Linked DNA regions of Drosophila melanogaster. The protein of the gene in region 1 interacts with the protein of each later gene in a biochemical or structural test. Each region holds a gene or a part of one and is shown in the gene's direction. Other genes may lie near its edges. The genes, in order: RasGAP1, btl and htl.

Region 1 (4,899 bases):
AAAAACTAAACGTTTTAAGAAACTTGTTCACGACGCAAATAGTAAACGAAGTTTACGAACCCATATTGACGTCAAGATCGAGTTAATACTAAATAAATGTTGTAAATTAGGGAGATCAAAAAACCCGGTCCAAATGGGTTTTTCATTCATAACGAAATAATAACGGAAGCTAGACAAATGACCAAAACACTTTTCCGGACATAAATATGAGAAAATATGGGAGGAGTGGGTTTATAAACAGGCCCAAAAACCTGAAACCGAAACTCGTAGACCCATTCATACGAATGGAAATGCCACAAAATACTATATTTATAACATCTGCGCCTAGCTTCGAATTTTGTGGGCGGGGCAAATGGAGGAGGAGGAGGAATCGAGTGGACAGCTGGAAACGGAAAAAAAGAAGAAAAGCCCTGTCTCCTCTTCTTCCCACGTCGGTTACGTTTCGTTGAGCGAAATGATCAACATATTCAAATGGTCGTTACGCACGCTACACAGAAAATAGCATTGTGAACGTTCTTAACAAATATTATGATACACTTTAAAAGCATATACTAAAGGGAAATGTTAATTTTCGATAAGTCTCTTTAAATTATTACAATTACTATAAACTATAACTGTGTTATAGTATTTACAATTATAATTTATTTTATATACAATTATTTTGCTCAGTGCAGTTGAAGTGACTAGATCAAATGCAGGGCATACGAAAACAATGAAACCCAGCCGAGCAACCATCCGAAATGTTGACCCGACCACTTCCACTTATTGGCGGCAGTTGTGATAAGATGCACCGCCTCACTTGTTGATCTCTCCCTGCCAGTTGTTGTTCTTGTTGTTGTTGTGATGCATGTGGTTTCCAAGGCAAGGAGCAGAAGCAACATATGCGTAAAGAAAAACATAAGCGGCGTTGCTGTCCGGATGCCGTGTGAATTTCACATTTCACTGCCTTGTTTCTGAATATTTGTGTACTTTTAATGTACATATGTGTGTACTATGTAGTTCCTCGGGTTCCTGTGGACTGTCTGCGATCCAGAACGCCCACGTAATGTGCGCTACGGTATAAACAGCCGGGCATTTGATTTTTACTTACTTTGCTAAGCATAACTAGCTATTGATACATGGTTATTGGAATAGATATGAATCTTAAACTGGTTGAATTTAAAAATAAACATTGCTTTCTGATATAATTCCTTAACGATCGATCATAAACAAAACAGGGTTTTTTATTGCTTTGTACCGCCCTTCTTAAGTCGCATATGCCTCGACTTTCTCTGCCGGCGATCTTCGGTTGTTTCCGCTGTTGGTGGCGCCGGTGCAACATGTGTGTGTGTTTAAGTGTAGGTGACCGCTGCTGCGTGTGTGCGTTTTCATTCACAAAATTTTTGGGAGGTGCATGTGTACACTTGCCGCTTGGAAATTTTAATTCAGTTCCATTTCGGCCGACCTGCAACACGTTCGTAATTCGGAGTGTGTTTCAAAGTTAAGCAACTAAAAACCAATCGGAATTAATAAAAACATCAATTAAACCTCAAGTTAAAATAAAAAAAACCAAAAATTCAGTGTTTAATAATAATCAATTTTAAATAAATTACAAAATATATAACTGTTTGTTGGAGCTAACGATATATATTCGATAGCCAGAACTGGTGAAATATCGAAATTAAACTTAAACATTTTTAATGAAAACCTTACTGTTGTGCTTAACTTAATAAGCATAAGCCGTTGTTGAATAAAATAAAAAAATTATTTTAAAACATATCTGCTTCAAACAAATTATTAAGCAAACATTAATCATTTGCGTTTCCCGTGGTATTTTCGGGGCACCGTGCTAAGGTCACACTAATTCGTTGGAGTCATACAACCGTCTCGCTACGGTCACTCTAGTTCTGATTCCGCTTCGAAAGGTTGTTCGCGGATGCGTGTAAACCCGCAAAGCAAATAAACTCGGAGAACCAAGTTTTTGCGATTCTGATTCAAGCAACCGAATTACTTTCCATACTTCGATAATATAATCCCACGTCTGCTAGTGCGTGCAAAAAACAGTTTGTAGTTAAAACGAAATACTAAAATCAGTCGAGCCCTGAAGCAACAGGGAAAGTGCATTTCGTGAGCGGCAAATCGACTCATATTCCCGTCACACCAGCTCAATGCACAATGCAACGCTGCAGCGAGTGATGAAATTCAAATGCAAATAGCCGGCTAATAAACCTGTTAAAGAAAAACAAATAATTTCGAGTTATTAAAGTTTCGTGAAGATCGAGTGAAGGAGTTAGATAAATTTCCAATCGCGTGTTGCAAGTTCCCCAGTGGGTAGCTGACAAAAAGCTGGCTGCTTTAAGCGCACAATGCTGCTGAAGAAGAAGCGCTATATGTTCGACGAGCGAGACGACAATAATATTAACTCGCCCGTCGCCGTCGAGCCAAGCAGCAACAACAACAAAATGGCCGATACACGCGAAGTGCGCATTGAAGAGCAATTAAAAGTGAAAATTGGTATGTAAATCGAGTGCGAAATCGTTCAAAAACATCAAAAATATGTCGAAGAACATGCGTGGCATGAACGTTGAGTGAAATACGCGCAGCAACGTGCGTTTTTTATGTTCCAAAGTGTGCTGGAATTTTGACAGCGTCGCCGTTTGCCCCGCGGAGCCTCTTCCAAGCAGAAAACAACATAGAATCGGGAGAATATGTCTAAAAGTTTTCCAAAATGTTGTGTAATCTAATGGCAAACCGAAATTTGTGCGAGTTGAGGCAAAGAAAGTCGATTAATTGAGAAAACAAATGTGTTTTTGTTCTAGAAATGCATATTGCGTTCAAGTGTATAAGCATGCTGTCCCGCTCTGACTCGCGTGTTGCTCTGTGCGTGTGTGTTTCTGTTGCCTTTTTCCCTGTGTGTGTGTGTTTTTTTTTCGTGCAGCAGCAGTGCAATACATTTGTTGTTGCTGCCGTTTGAGAAGTAATGGATGACCAGGCTGAATGTTACGGCATTCGCTTCTTGACCCACCCCCAGAACCGCTCTTCCTCCTTCATCGCCCAGCACACCCCCCGCAGTTTTGAATGCGCCCCTTTTTGTGAATGAATCGGAAATCAAGCATGTGTCTGTGAGACGCTCCAGCGCATGCTCACACACACGCGACAAACGCACACACACAAGCGGCAGAGAGATCCCAGCAACAATGTGTGGGTTTTTTTATGAATGGAATTTTCGAATTCGGTGTACTTTTCTCAATACGAAGGTGTCTGTTTTATGAATGATTATCAAAAGCAACAAGCGAAAAGAGCATCGATTAATGGCCTACTATATATTGGCAAGAGGTCAAATGAATGAATGACGCTCTCTCACTTTTCCTCTCCATTCTGCCATCCACTTCATTCTGAAGCGAGAGCGAAGCAGACTGCAAGAGATAGACGAAAAATAAACTTGCGGTTGTTTTTTGGTGGTTTTACATTTCCTGTTGAAACATAAAAAGTAAAACAGAATTATGAATAACCACTGGCTGTGTGTACTGTGCGGGGAGGGGGGGGGGGGGTTCAAAAGTTCCCGTGATCTCATTTTCACACCTGCACACGCATTTATTTTTACCTCTTCTGCTTCTCACATTTTCAATCTCGCAACTCATAAGCAGCTTTTGCTATGCTTTTTCAACATAAATTATATGCAAAGCTGCAACAACATTGTTGCCTTGCCGCTTTTGATTTCCGTTTCCCAGCGCCCAGAGTTTCCCTTCGTGTGTTGCGGTTTTGTGTTCTTTTTCTCCGGCCATAAAACTCTTGCTTTTTTCAGTTGCTCTTCTTTTTTTCCGTGTCTTCCCCTCTTCAACTGCTTTTTGCACGCTTCAATTGTTTTCGCATGCGCCTCTGTCTTTGTCGGGATCTTCTCTTCGCACCCTCCTCTCCTCTCGACACTTCCTTTTGCCACATTCCCTTCTTTCTCCAGCTGCTTTAACCCTTTTGGGTTCTGCGAAGAAGATGGCACAATATTGGTTAAAAATGAATTAAAACACGTTTCTGCGCTGATTGAAGAACGAAAGTTATGCACTTCCTTCGATTATCGGGTTGTTATGGCAAATTAGCTGTCACCTTTTTACCTCCATTTCATTCGTTCGCCTTTGTGGTTCATGTTTACCCTCTTTACCTGCAAAAATTCCGTTAAGGATCGACCACAGCTTCCCAAGATACATATCTGATCTCATTAAAAATCCTGAGTAGTTATTACACAACACCATATCTAAAGGAATTGCCATTCAAAAATGCCTCTAAAATGTTAAAAAATGCTGTGTTATGGATCGGGAATACCTATCGAGCAGGAAATTTAACCATATTCTCTAGTTTTATAGAAGTATTATTGGGAACTCACTATTATTTATTTATAGTTTTCCCTCTTAAAAACTCTACTAAAGATATAGAAATGCGATTTCAAACGGCTCACGATCACGTTTTCTAATGATTGAAGAATGAAAGTTATTCATTTCCCATAATCATCATTGATTATCGCATCATTATAGCACATTAGCTGCTGTGTCACCTCTATTGCCCATCAACAGTCAGCTTCTTTCCCATCCGCTTTATAACGTGATATATGTACGTATTTATATATCGTTATAAGCGCTATACATATCTATGTATGTATATGTATGTACACCCTGCATTCTTCTCCCAAGTATCATATTTCCACTTCATTATGCTTTGCATGCTTAATAATAATACTTCCACATCGTGCTCAGTTTCAATTACACACGGAGTTTCGCTTTTGTTGCTATTGTTGTGGGGGCTTTCCATTTCCATTTTGTTGCTCGTTGCGATTTCTACACGAAACGTCCGTCCAAAATTGGCGTAATACTTTTCCACTTAATTAAAATGTTTAGCGCATAACCTAAATTTCATTTAGAATGATAACGA
Region 2 (7,775 bases), 4.2 Mb from region 1:
TTGTGCTAGAAAACTTGGATGTACTGGCCCACGCTGCTGGAGAGCAGTCCAGTCAGGATGGAGAGTACTACAATCGCATGGCGGATACTGTGTATCAGTTGATTGTTCAGTATACCACCAACAACGCTATTGCAGTAATCGCCACCGTCAACGAGTTGCAGACCCTCAATAAGCGATTGAGCTCACCAAGGGGAAGACATGTCTTCCAGACTGTTGCTCGTCTGCCCAATTTGGAACGAGCAGATCGAGAGATAATTCTTCGAGAGCTGTGCAGCCATATCAATGTGGCCAAGGACCTGGATCTTGTTAAGTTCTCCAACCTCACGGAGGGCTACCGGAAATGTGATCTTGTTCAGTTCGTGGAGCGTGCAATATTTTATGCTTATCGCATAAGTGAGTAGTTTGTAGTGTTAGTAAGCAACTTTATCATGTTAAATTCCCTTTTTTCCAGGCAAGACCCAGCCTCTTCTGACCAATGATCAGCTTATTGAGTCCCTGGAGCACACAAACTCGTACTGCCTGCAGGGCATTCAGAGCAATCAAAGAACTGGCAATGATGCCGATGCCAATGAAATGCGCGTCGAGGAGTTGCCTGGCCTGGAGTCAGTTGTGGGAGTTCTGGAGGAGGTCCTTATGTGGCCATCAAGGGTGAGTTTTAAACGAAATATATGTTTTTTTCTAAAATTTAATAAATCATTAATTTCTTACAGTATCCAACCATTTTTAACGCCTCTCCACTGCGCAACCAGGCCGGAGTACTTCTATATGGGCCACCAGGAACAGGTAAAACCTATCTGGTCTCTCAGTTGGCCACATCGTGGAACCTGCGCATCATTTCCGTCAAGGGTCCTGAGTTGCTCGCCAAATATATTGGTCAAAGCGAGGAAAATGTTCGAAACCTGTTCAATCGAGCTCGCAGTGCCCGACCATGTGTGCTTTTCTTCGACGAGTTTGACAGCTTGGCGCCGAAACGTGGTCACGATTCCACGGGGGTCACCGATCGAGTGGTAAATCAGTTGCTCACAGAACTGGATGGCGTTGAAGGACTGCAGGGAGTTACCGTGATAGCAGCTACCTCCAGACCGGAACTGCTAGATCCCGCGCTTCTTCGATCCGGTCGCATTGATCGCTTGGTGGAGTGTCCTTTGCCGGATGCTCCGGCCAGAGTACGTATATTTGAAGCACTCAGTTCAACACTGAGCCTTGATGAGTGCGTGGACTTCGATTGGTTTGCGGGAAAAACTGCAAACTACACTGGCGCCGATATCCAGAGCATCCTGACCTCGGCGAACATGGCGGCGGTTAAGGAGGCGCTAGCTCAATTCGGACACGAGGTGAGCTGGGAATTATTTTCACCGGAAACAATCTGCTTTATGGGTCATGCAAGCTTTCAACCGTTTCTTTCATGTTTTATTGTTTCTCATCCTGATTTCAAATGTAACTTCTATGTAAAAACTCCTTTACGTGTTTGTCTTTTAAATCAAAAGTGAAATCTATGCTACTTCCTGCAACAATGATTAGTCACGTAGTTCTTAGTCTCTGGCCACAGTATAAAATACCATTTGTTTCTTATTGCTTTCCCAGAAACTGGCAAAGAAAATTTCCTTGAAGCAGAAGCACCTGATTGAGTCGTTCCAAACCACTCGTCCTTCGCTCAGCGCCTCCGATGTGGCCAAATATCACAGAACGTACGTAACAATGTCTTCTTTGTTCTTCTGTTCTTCTTACCTTTTTAATTATCTCTTGGTAGGTATGCTCGCTTTACCAACAAGGAGAAGACTTCTAGGGAGTTTGTAGCCAAGCGTGCGACCTTGGCTTAAAGACAAAGACTTATAAGCTTAGCATTATTATTATTTTAAATTGTTTTTTGCATATTTGTACATCTGGAAAATGGAACATTTTGTTGGAAGACGCAAGTCTTAGGTAGTACATATTTCATAATTTTTCTTGTTGAAAAATAAAAACCAAATTTCTTTTATGATTACTTCGTATAAATCCATATACCACTCCGGAGTGTTAAATTGAAAGAATATTATATTTTAATTATAATGTACATACATGTATAAAAAAGAGAAAGAGATGTTCAAATTTAAGAACTAATATCTTTTCGCATTCTGACCTCGGTAAACATGAGTGCTGTTAAGGGGTGGCTCCTTAACAAATGAAGACATCAGGTGAGTTTGGTTATTAATTCACCGGAAATTGTGTTTAGCTATAACAAGTTTTTGATAGCTAGTTTGGATAGTATGTCCCTCCTTTTCGTATTTCCCAACTGTTTCGCATTTGTTCCCATAGCCCCTAACAAGTGCATCAAAAATGCATTTAACTATTTTTGGGTAGATTACGTGCCCGGCATCTGGATCTGGATTTTGGCCTATGCGGGAGCTAGCTGCTGCCATGCCACATGCAGCAACTGAGATTTTTGGATATCAGTCACGTAACGGATATTTCCTTATTGATATGCGATTACCGCGCATGCGCACGTACTGCACACCACTAAGACAATGGACACATTTTCTTTTGCATAAATTAAGCCGCCAAGCAAACAAACAGGGAGGGAACCCGAAGGCCAGATAATAAAGAATTTCAACGAGTCGAAGCCACCGCAAACATGCTTAGAATAAAACCAACAAGAACCTAGCAGAAGCAGCAGCAGCAAACCAGCAATAAAAAGAAAGGAAACCGCTCAGGAAAACTACCAGCGAAAACAATTGCAACATGCGGGAGGGAGACCACCTCGATCAGGTAGCCGTCCGAACCCATACCATCCCATCCGAAGACCCTGTGCCCAGGATCCTAGCAAACATTATCGCAGGGAACCACAGATATCCACTCGTTTCGTATCGTATTGGATCGTATTGGATCGGTTCGGTTCGATCGGCACGTTCGGATCGTTCGTATCGTACCGCGTAAAAGTTTCTTCCGTTTCGATCGTTACTTTCAGTTGTTTGCGCACATTCAAGCCAATCGGTTGGCTCCTTCCACAAACTTTACGGATTACGGTTAGTGCAACGGAAGTGAACCCCCCCCCCCCCCCCCCGCCCAACACCAGCTACCCATCACATATTTCTTTTCATTTATGCCTGGTAAAGGGAAATAAAAGTTGGCAACGAAGCGGAAATGCAAGGCGCCTTCCGCTGCCCTCTTGCCGAGTCTTAAGATTTTTATACAAGCCCCAACCGCGATTGACAGCCGAATAAACATAGTGACAATGTTTTTTGCAATCTTATTTGCCTTCTCCGGCTCCTCGAAAATAAAAGACAAAGAACGTGATTTTTTTGGTCAAAGATTTGGGGTTGTGGCATGGCAGAAAAGAATTGTGTTCCCACTGCGAACTGACAAGCAGCAGTGAAACCAAAATAAAGCAAAAAATAATTTAAGAGTGAATTGTTCCAGCAGTAAAATAAATACAAATCTTTCCAAGTGCAGCCAAAAGATCATAAACCACAGATAAATAAAAACAAAAAGTCTGCAAAGTAACCAAATGTTAAAAATAAAATTTTAATTGAGACAAAGAAACGTGATAAAACTGATTCATACATAATTAAATAAACACCAATGAAATAAATAAGAAAATAAAATTAAAGTGATGTCAATTGTATGAATGAATAATTTATGTCTTGATCCAAACATTCCTTTTACATTAAGTCAATGTTTGCAGAAAGAAAACTGAATGGGGAGTTAATACCCAGGGTTCCAAATAAAGAACTTATTCTATTCTCGATATAGCTGATTGACCAAGTTGAAATATCAAATCGTTCATGCATTAGATTTATACGCTCGATAATAATTCACAAGATAAAAAGGTGTGAGCTAAACGGTTTTGGCCATGTGCGCTTGTGGCTTAAAATCGAATCGAATAATATTGAATGAATGACAAACTGAGAAAAAAATTAAATAAAAATAGCAATAATACATACTTCAAATACAGCGATCGACTCGTATTTGGCAACAAATGAGAAAAAAAGGAATTGAATAAATTAAAACCTGCGACGCGTGTGCATACATACATAAATCGGGCCTGAAGTCAAACGGCTAGCGGCTAGCGGCAATATCGGCTAAAACAACAACAACAATTACTGGCAGCACTAGCACCATATTAACAACAACAATGACAATCGCAACGGTTGTCCCAAGCCTTACAAACAATAAAATACTTTTCATTAAACAGCACAGTGGTCAAAACGATTTTATAAAAGTTAAAAATATTTTAATTTTCTGATAGAAAAAATAGTCGAACTATGCTATGCCCCCATTATTATCAATATTTTCTAAACTTCGTTTAAAACTTTACATTTTGTACAAAGCTTACATTCGCAGACAACAAGTTTGGGAATTTACCCTATCATCATTAATCATTGAACTAAAAATTGTTTATTTTTATTTGGCAAACATTTGACGAACCCAAGTAGATGGAATACCCACTGTCCTATACCCTTTACGTGATTATACTAAAAATTAATTTTGAAATAATTATCTGCTATTAGGATTTTCGAGCAGTGTTATTCAGTGTTTAAAGCATAACTTTATTATAAATATACCTTTTAATTGATTAAAATGCTGAGCTCATATTGCACAGAGAATTTGAATGTTAATTAGTTGCTATTTCAGATTGTGGCAAATCATTTAGGTATTTCTCGATTTGTTGTTGCAATTCTCTAGCACCTTGTCTGTTTGTTTTGTAAGTGCAAGTATAGTACTTGGGGAATAACTGAAAAGTGTGACACCACTGTAACAACTGATTTCAACAAATAGCTAAGTGATTTTCTAACTGTTCGGCATTTAGTTGAATGGAAATCGAGGAGCGCAGGCCGCAGCAACAAAAGCATTTGGCGAACGTCGAATATAGACAAGTTATAATGGAGATCCCCTTCGGTAGTGGGTGGCGACGAGTGTGTCCGGCAATTCGGTGGCTTCGACCACGTCTTCCAGCTCATTACGAAGGCAGGGCACACAGTTTTCGTTTGTTTCAGTTGCTTCTCCTTTGGATTTTTGCATATCGGTGCGGACAGACTTGACTTGGCTGTGTGCCGTGTTGGCAATAAAATATTAAACAATAATAATAAATAAATAAAATGACACAGATCGGGAACTAAGGGAGGGGCAAAAAGTGAAGCGGAGATTTGGCAATATTTATTGATCCACTTATACAGCTGCGGTCAAAAGAATAGTGGCACAATAGTGGTATTCAAGTAACGAATAGCTAATAATATTTGCATTCATAACTTCTTAAATTTAGTTAAATTAAACAAAATTCCAAAGTGTTATTTTTAAAGTATAATATATCAATCAATGCCATGTAATTCATATATTTAATCCTTTCCTTTAGCTGGAGAACGCTCGATTTGAAATCGAGGAACTCGAATGAAGATACCCACAGGAAGTGATATTATTTCGACCGCAACTGTAACCCATATGTACACGATCGTGCCCATCCAGATACGAGATCTTGGTGGCTGTTGAACTCAAGAGAATCCACTTGAATCATGGCAAAAGTGCCGATCACGCTGGTGATGATCATTGCGATCGTCTCTGCCGCTGCGGACCTGGGATGCGATTATGGCCATCATCGTTGCTACATCGATGTGACTGTGGAAAACAGTCCCCGCCAGCGCCATCTGCTCTCCGACATGGACATCACGCTGCAGTGCGTCCGACCCATGGCCAAATGGTTCTATGAGGATAAGTTTCAACTGAGGGCTACCCTTTTGCGACTTGAACGAGCACAGTCCGGAAATTCTGGAAACTACGGCTGCCTGGATAGTCAGAACAGATGGTACAATATTTCCCTTGTTGTTGGCCATAAGGAACCAGTTGGCAATGATATCGCCAGCTTTGTCAAGTTGGAAGATGCACCGGCCCTCCCGGAGTCAGATCTCTTTTTTCAGCCCCTGAATGAGAGTCGATCCCTGAAGTTGCTGCAACCCCTACCCAAAACCGTACAACGGACCGCAGGTGGCCTTTTTCAGTTGAACTGCAGTCCCATGGATCCGGATGCAAAGGGTGTTAATATATCCTGGCTGCACAATGATACTCAAATCCTTGGTGGACGTGGACGCATTAAGCTTAAAAGGTGGTCATTAACAGTGGGGCAACTGCAGCCGGAGGATGCTGGAAGCTATCACTGTGAGCTGTGCGTGGAACAGGACTGCCAAAGGAGTAATCCGACCCAATTGGAGGTGATAAGCAGAAAGCACACGGTGCCCATGCTAAAGCCCGGATATCCCCGCAATACCAGCATTGCCCTCGGGGACAATGTGAGCATTGAATGCCTACTTGAGGACTCTGCCCTGGAGCCGAAGATCACGTGGCTACATAAGGGGAATGCGGACAACATCGATGACCTCTTGCAGCGTTTAAGAGAGCAGTCCCAGCTACCTGTGGATGTTACCCGATTGATTACCCGAATGGATGAACCGCAGGTACTTCGTCTTGGAAATGTCCTGATGGAGGATGGCGGATGGTACATATGCATAGCCGAGAACCAGGTTGGACGCACTGTGGCCGCCTCCTATGTGGATCTTTACAGTCCCTCAGATACTACCACAGTTCGCACGACCACTACTACCACCGTGGCCAGCCCAATACCCACTGCATCCACCGGAGAGGACAACGATGACGACGTGGAAAATCCAGCAGCGGAAGCATCAGGCGGCGTTGGTCCACCTGTGTTCAGAAAAGAGCTGAAACGATTACAGCACTCATTATCGGGAAATACTGTCAATCTAGCCTGTCCAGTGTACGGCAAAGCGAACATCACCTGGACGAAGGACAAGAAGCCGCTAAACCGTGAACTCGGCGTCTATGTGCAAAAGAACTGGACACTCCGCTTCGTGGAGGCCACCAGCGAGGATTCTGGACTATACAACTGTAAGGTGTGCAATGCGTGGGGCTGCATCCAGTTTGACTTCAGTGTCCAAATAAACGATCGCACGAGATCCGCACCAATAATCGTGGTGCCGCAAAATCAGACGGTGAAAGTCAATGGCAGCTTGGTGATGAAGTGCACCGTCTACTCTGATCTGCATCCAACAGTCAGCTGGAAAAGGGTTGTCCTCAAGAATGCCTCCTTGGACGGCCTTAAGTCTGTGGAAATCCAGAATCTCAACTTCACCGTGACGAATGACTCCGTAGTTTTAACGCTTCGTAATGTGACCTTTGACCAGGAGGGCTGGTACACCTGTTTGGCCTCAAGTGGTCTGGGAAGGAGTAACTCCAGTGTGTACCTTAGGGTAGTGAGTCCTCTGCCACCTTTGGAGATCTACGCCCTGCTGCACGCCCATCCTCTCGGATTCACCTTGGCCGCTATTACGATAGTGGCTTTGTTCCTTTTGGGCAGTGCTTTCATAACGTTCATGCTGCGTCGGCTGAGGAGGGAGAAGCTCCTGAAGCTCCGCATCGAAACGGTTCATCAGTGGACTAAAAAGGTGATCATATACCGACCGGGTGGAGAAGAAGGAAGTGGCTGCAGCTCCGGCGATCTTCAGATGCCAGTGATAAGGATCGAGAAGCAGAGAACAACCGTTTCCACAACGGGAACTGGCGGTACTGATCCCGCCCAGGGCTTTAATGAGTATGAGTTCCCGCTGGACTCAAACTGGGAGATTCCCAGGCAGCAGCTTAGCTTGGGCTCCATTTTGGGTGAGGGCGCCTTTGGACGCGTAGTGATGGCGGAGGCGGAGGGGCTTCCCAGGAGTCCACAACTGGCCGAAACCATCGTGGCCGTCAAGATGGTCAAGGAGGAGCACACGGATACGGACATGGCCAGTTTGGTG
Region 3 (5,031 bases), on another chromosome or scaffold:
CAACTCAATTTCTTAATCTTAATCTACTAATCCCAAAATTTAATTGATTTCCCAAGTCACCTAGCAAAAGTTAATATATTGCTCTTCCTTATTTTCATTGACAGCTTCAATAGCCCATCTGTTTATCTATTGCAACTGAATAAGTCTAGCAGTTAACTTATTTTTTGGTTGTTTAATCCGCTGGTCGAAAGCGTTTCTCATTGGCATATTTCGCATATAATTGGCTATAAAAATTCATGTTAATGTGCAATTAATCATATTAGCAATTAACTTTATGCTGTTTGGCTGCTCTGCACGAGATCTCGACGAGCTGCGATCTGCGAGATGGCTGCAGATCGTGTCGCCCAACTCGAAGATCGTGTCTCCAAAAGCCTGTTACCGTTCCCGATTTTTCATTTCCCATTCGCAGATTCCCAGAGCCAAATGGCCAAAGGCTCGACCAACCAGACTTTGAGCCAATTTCCCAATATTTATTTCTATGCTCGAAACGCTAACAACTTGCGTTTCGTTCTGGCCAAATTGAAAAGCCATACGGAAGCTGAAGCTGCGATCGGCAGCCTCGAGGAGAAGCACTTTTGGGTAGCCAAGAGGAGCCCGGTTTGGAGCCAGGTTGGAGCCAGGAGGCTTGCCCAGGAGTGCATAAAATTTAAGTATTATGACCATACACACTGATCGGTGGCCGTCTTTAACCCGTGCTTTCCCCGGTCTCTCTGCGGCTTTACGAGGTTGTTAACTGTTGAAACTATGCTAACCACTCATGGGGATCCTCCCTCCCAATTCCGCCGTGGAGCATCAATTAATCAGTCAGGCGTAACGCCATTTGGCACTGAACGGGTCCCGTCGGCCACAATTGATGGTCAATAATCGTTAATTGTTTTCGATTTTCGGCCAAAATCCCCCCTGCGTCATTGTCCATTGTTTGGCTAACCCTTTTCGTTATTTTTGGTGTCTCCATAGAGACAAACGCTAAACGATGCCATTGTCTTTGGCGCACAGCGTGTGTGCTTTGATGGCCTTTTCACCACGAGTGTCATTCATTAGAGGGGCTTTCTTCCATCGCCACTTGGCTACTGGTTCTTATGTGTCTGTTGGCCATTTGACATTGGCTATAAGTAGCTCATAATTAATAACTGCTAACTTACTTAGCGAGCTATTGTGTTGGCTAATGAATCTCATTCCGCATTTTCCGCCTCAAACGAAGCGCAAAGAAATGCGCAAAGAATTTGTCAGTAGAATCTTAGGCCCTCATAGGCCATAAATCTTTTTAAAAAATAATAATAATTAAATTCAAGTGACTGATCTATTCTGACTAAGATAAGTTAGCTATTCTTTTTAATAAAGCATGATCCATCAAACCAATTATAACTACATAAATAATTGATCTGAATATAAGGAATCTTTTTGACAACTACCCATCTTCTTTGCACCCTCATAATGAAATTCATGAATTTCCTCGCTGCGCTCGAAACTATGCAACATATTGTGCGTTAGAATATCTTTGAGATATTCCATTCGACTCAATTGAACGAATTTTAGAACGAGTGCGGTCTGTGCACTCAATTACATTTCACTTTCCAAGGGAAGGCCGCCACTCAGCTACACACTTGTGTGTGTGTGTGTGTGGGTCCCCCATATATAGGGTATAGGGGCCCCTATACCATATAGTACCATACATACATATACCGCATACCCAACCCCTCGCTTTTTCGACCCTTCCTCTCTTTGGCTGCGGATTATACAATGTGTGGCTGGCGTTCCGTTCAATTTTGTGTGTTTTCTGTATTTGTTTACGCGCCTGCCGCAAAAATACATTGCAGAGATGTGTTCTCCAGCATGTTGAAGTTGATGGGGGAAATGTGAATTCGTTTCATTTGTTCCCTCATTTAATTGAAGAGATTTATTTCGCAGAGCTGGCTCGGTTCTGTTCGGTTCGCTTGCTTTTTTTTGACTCAGTTGCGATCGGACTGCGTGCCGTTACAGTAGGCGAAATCGGAGGAAAATCGTTGGAAAATCGGTTGGAAAATCGTTGGAAAATCGGTGAAAAATCGTCGAAAATTAGAGCGAACGATCGATCGATTGAACGCGTAATAACGCCATATAATATAATTATACTAATAATTATTAGTAATGCCTCTTGGTGAAAACGCACACATTTTGTGGATGGAAAGAAACAAAACAGAGTCAAGTGTGCAACGGTTTCTGGTTCTGTTTAAGTGCCTAAGTGCCATATAAATGCGTACTAAAACATTTCTGGAATTTTAAGTGGAAACATTCTCGAATTCTGTGAACTTTCCCAATTGTGTTTTTAGTGAAAGACTTACAATTTAGACGAAGGCAAGGAGAAATTCCAACGCAGAGACACTTTGGTGGATATTTGGCAAGAAGCTTTTTGGCATTTTTTTTTTTTTGTTCGTGGAGCAACGCACTTTGTGAGGTAAGTCTTTAAAAATACACACCGTGCATCGTTTAATTTAGTTTATTTTGTTTTTGGTTTTTTTTGCGTAGTTGCGCAAATCATTTGTTTGATCCACTTTTTGATTGACCGCGCACAGCAATTTGACTTTTTAACCCAAAGGCCAAAAAGTGTAAAATGTGCAGTGGTTCGGTTCCAAAGCAATTTGTGTCGTTTATCCCGCTGTGTGTGTGTGTAGTCAATCGTTCAATTATCTATTCTCTGGCTACCCCATAATAATACAGTGAATATGGACAGTTGTGGGCTCCCCATAGTATCTGTTTTTTTTATTTTTTATTTATTCCATTCGGTTCTGCTATGGTACATGCTCAAATTGAAAGCACTTTTCCACAGGGTTCCCATTCTAATTTATATTTATTTATTTGCTTTTACAAGCCAACCGATGCCCCAGAGCTCGGGAAAATATTTCAAACTCATAATTCTGTTATATTCCAACGCTCCCTTAGAATGGGATTTTGTTTATTAACCAACAGCATATAGCATATATCGTATCATCTAGAGTCTAGATTCTAGAATGTAGACGGTATAGGAACATGCAATATTTTCTAGCCGCGTAAACAAACATTTCAACTTGTCTGCTCTTTGTCCGACTTGCTCTATATCTGAGTGAGTATATAGCTAAAGATATAGCTATCTGTGTGTATATATATGTATATATATATATTTATCGGGTATCTGTTTTGTCGGTCGGTTAGCTTTACGATGCCATCTTCTAGGTGATTCGGCTTCTGTTTTGTTGCCTTTGGCAATCACTCAATTTGCTGGCCGACAACCGAAGACGCTTCTTACTTTTCGCCTCCCTTCTCTGCAATTTATTTATGAATGATAATTAAGGTTAGGTTTGTTTAGCTAATTGTGCGGCCAGTTCCCGGTATTGTTCCCATATCATCTCAGGTGGGATCCACGCAGACTTTCGGTATGATCCTTTGATCTTTATGATGTTAAAGTACAAATGTCACGAGAATATATGCTTGCTATATAATATTAAATGTTTTCATGAGAGTTTATCATAAAATCAGTGTTTACCAAATAAAGATTTCGATTTAGAAATAGATTTATGTCAACAATAAAGTAATAATGTTATTTTTTGGTATTATAATATATTATAGCTTAAGCTTATCAATGCTACAGCACTTTTATAATGGATTTTGTTGTCTAAATGTTTGTGAGTACTAATAAAATTTTAAAGCTCTAAATGGCAAATTTACAAATATATAAGTAAAGCTTGCAACAATTTAAGAATAGCACATATTTATTTCAACTAAATCTGTTGAACGTTCTTTATATAAATCGCTGCGTGCTTTATATTTCTGAAATGTAAATCGAATCAATAGTTCACTACTCATATACTTTGTGATAATTTAACGTAGCTTCGCGTTTTTGATAAAGTCGACTTGCCACAATCGACCTTTCGCTCCATCTGCTTCTTTTCGTTTACCCCATGGGATGCAACCTTCTCGCCGTCACGTACTGAATGGTATATACTAGATGAACGGGTGGGGATGGATGGATGGATGGATGGCTGGATGGGATTGGCATTGGGTGGCTGATGGCTGGTGGAACCTGCCGACGAACCGTGCGAAATAACAGACTCGTGCCGGTCTCGACTTGGTATCGGATACACTGAGCGGCAGCGGGGCAACCGCCAAGTGCGTCAATTGCGGGTCAACCCGTGCGATTGAAATGGATGCGCCAAGTGACCGGCGATTTCAATTCGATGGGAAATGTACATATACCGTGCAATGTTTGTATACTTTGCAAATACTTTCCGGAACGTGTTTGTTTATAAATCGGGCGATTTTGGACGGCACAGGAAATACATACATATACTAAAATTGCGCGCTCATTATCGATGGAGGTGAAGGTCGGAGGGTGGAGATAGAATACCAAACATATATACAATTTTTGGCAGTTTCCGATTTGGCGGATGCCTTCCTGGAAGTCAACATTTCGGATAACCCCATCATTTAGACGCTGGAGTCGCTACTTCCCCTCGAGAATCGACGACAATGTCTGTGCAACACATGTGGCACGATCTTAGGTAGACATACGTATATGTACATTCGTGTATGTTCGATGCTGATGATGTGCCCACATGTTGCAGTCAACAATAGAGCAACAAATGCAAGCCGAAACAATATTTGCCCTTGTCTCTGCTCTGACTCTGACTGTGGGCGTGGCGACGGGGGCGGGAGAACAGAGACAACTGAACACAGTAGTCTTCTCCGCCGGCCGTTATTTTTGTTGCTTTTAATTTCTTTAATTTTTTTTTGTCCGCCAGATGTGGGCTGAATGTTGAATGCGGACTGGAAAGATCAGACCCAGAACGCGGAGAGAAACTGTGTCTGTTTTAATTAAAGATGAGAGTAATACCCAGTGCAAACTGAGAGATACCGCCGATACTGAGATACAAAGCCAGACGGGGCTGGCATGTGTGGAAAATTAAGGCTGCCGTTGAAAGCGAAAAGATGCGGGACGCTAAAGGCAACGACCATCCAAACAGAACAGAACCGCAATGTGAATGAAAAAGCGAGCTTGTCAATTTATTGACTATAGCA

Evidence for each region.
Region 2: the proteins of RasGAP1 (region 1) and btl form a complex in vitro, tested with the Drosophila melanogaster proteins (one study listed by BioGRID).
Region 3: the proteins of RasGAP1 (region 1) and htl form a complex in vitro, tested with the Drosophila melanogaster proteins (one study listed by BioGRID).

The regions. Positions count from the first base shown.
Region 1 is NT_037436.4:9,852,259-9,857,157, reverse strand, and holds the start of RasGAP1 (Ras GTPase activating protein 1), read left to right. Parts: upstream 1-1,872; 5' UTR 1,873-2,345; coding exon 2,346-2,493; intron 2,494-4,899. UniProt on the Drosophila melanogaster protein: Inhibitory regulator of the Ras-cyclic AMP pathway. May function as a negative regulator of Ras85D/Ras1 in the sev signaling pathway. Acts cell autonomously in cone cell precursors as a negative regulator of R7 photoreceptor cell determination.
Region 2 is NT_037436.4:14,074,126-14,081,900, forward strand, and holds the start of btl (breathless), read left to right. Parts: upstream 1-1,688; intron 1,689-1,750; coding exon of another isoform or gene 1,751-1,820; 5' UTR 1,821-1,923; exon of another isoform or gene 1,924-1,998; intron 1,999-2,939; exon of another isoform or gene 2,940-3,002; intron 3,003-5,329; 5' UTR 5,330-5,486; coding exon 5,487-7,775. Other genes in the region: Pex1 (peroxin 1), read left to right, coding at 1-393, 452-648, 711-1,334, 1,585-1,688, 1,751-1,820. UniProt on the Drosophila melanogaster protein: May be required for patterning of muscle precursor cells: generation of mesodermal and endodermal layers, invaginations of various types of cells, and CNS formation.
Region 3 is NT_033777.3:18,049,905-18,054,935, reverse strand, and holds the start of htl (heartless), read left to right. Parts: upstream 1-1,951; 5' UTR 1,952-2,434; intron 2,435-5,031. UniProt on the Drosophila melanogaster protein: May be required for patterning of muscle precursor cells. May be essential for generation of mesodermal and endodermal layers, invaginations of various types of cells and CNS formation.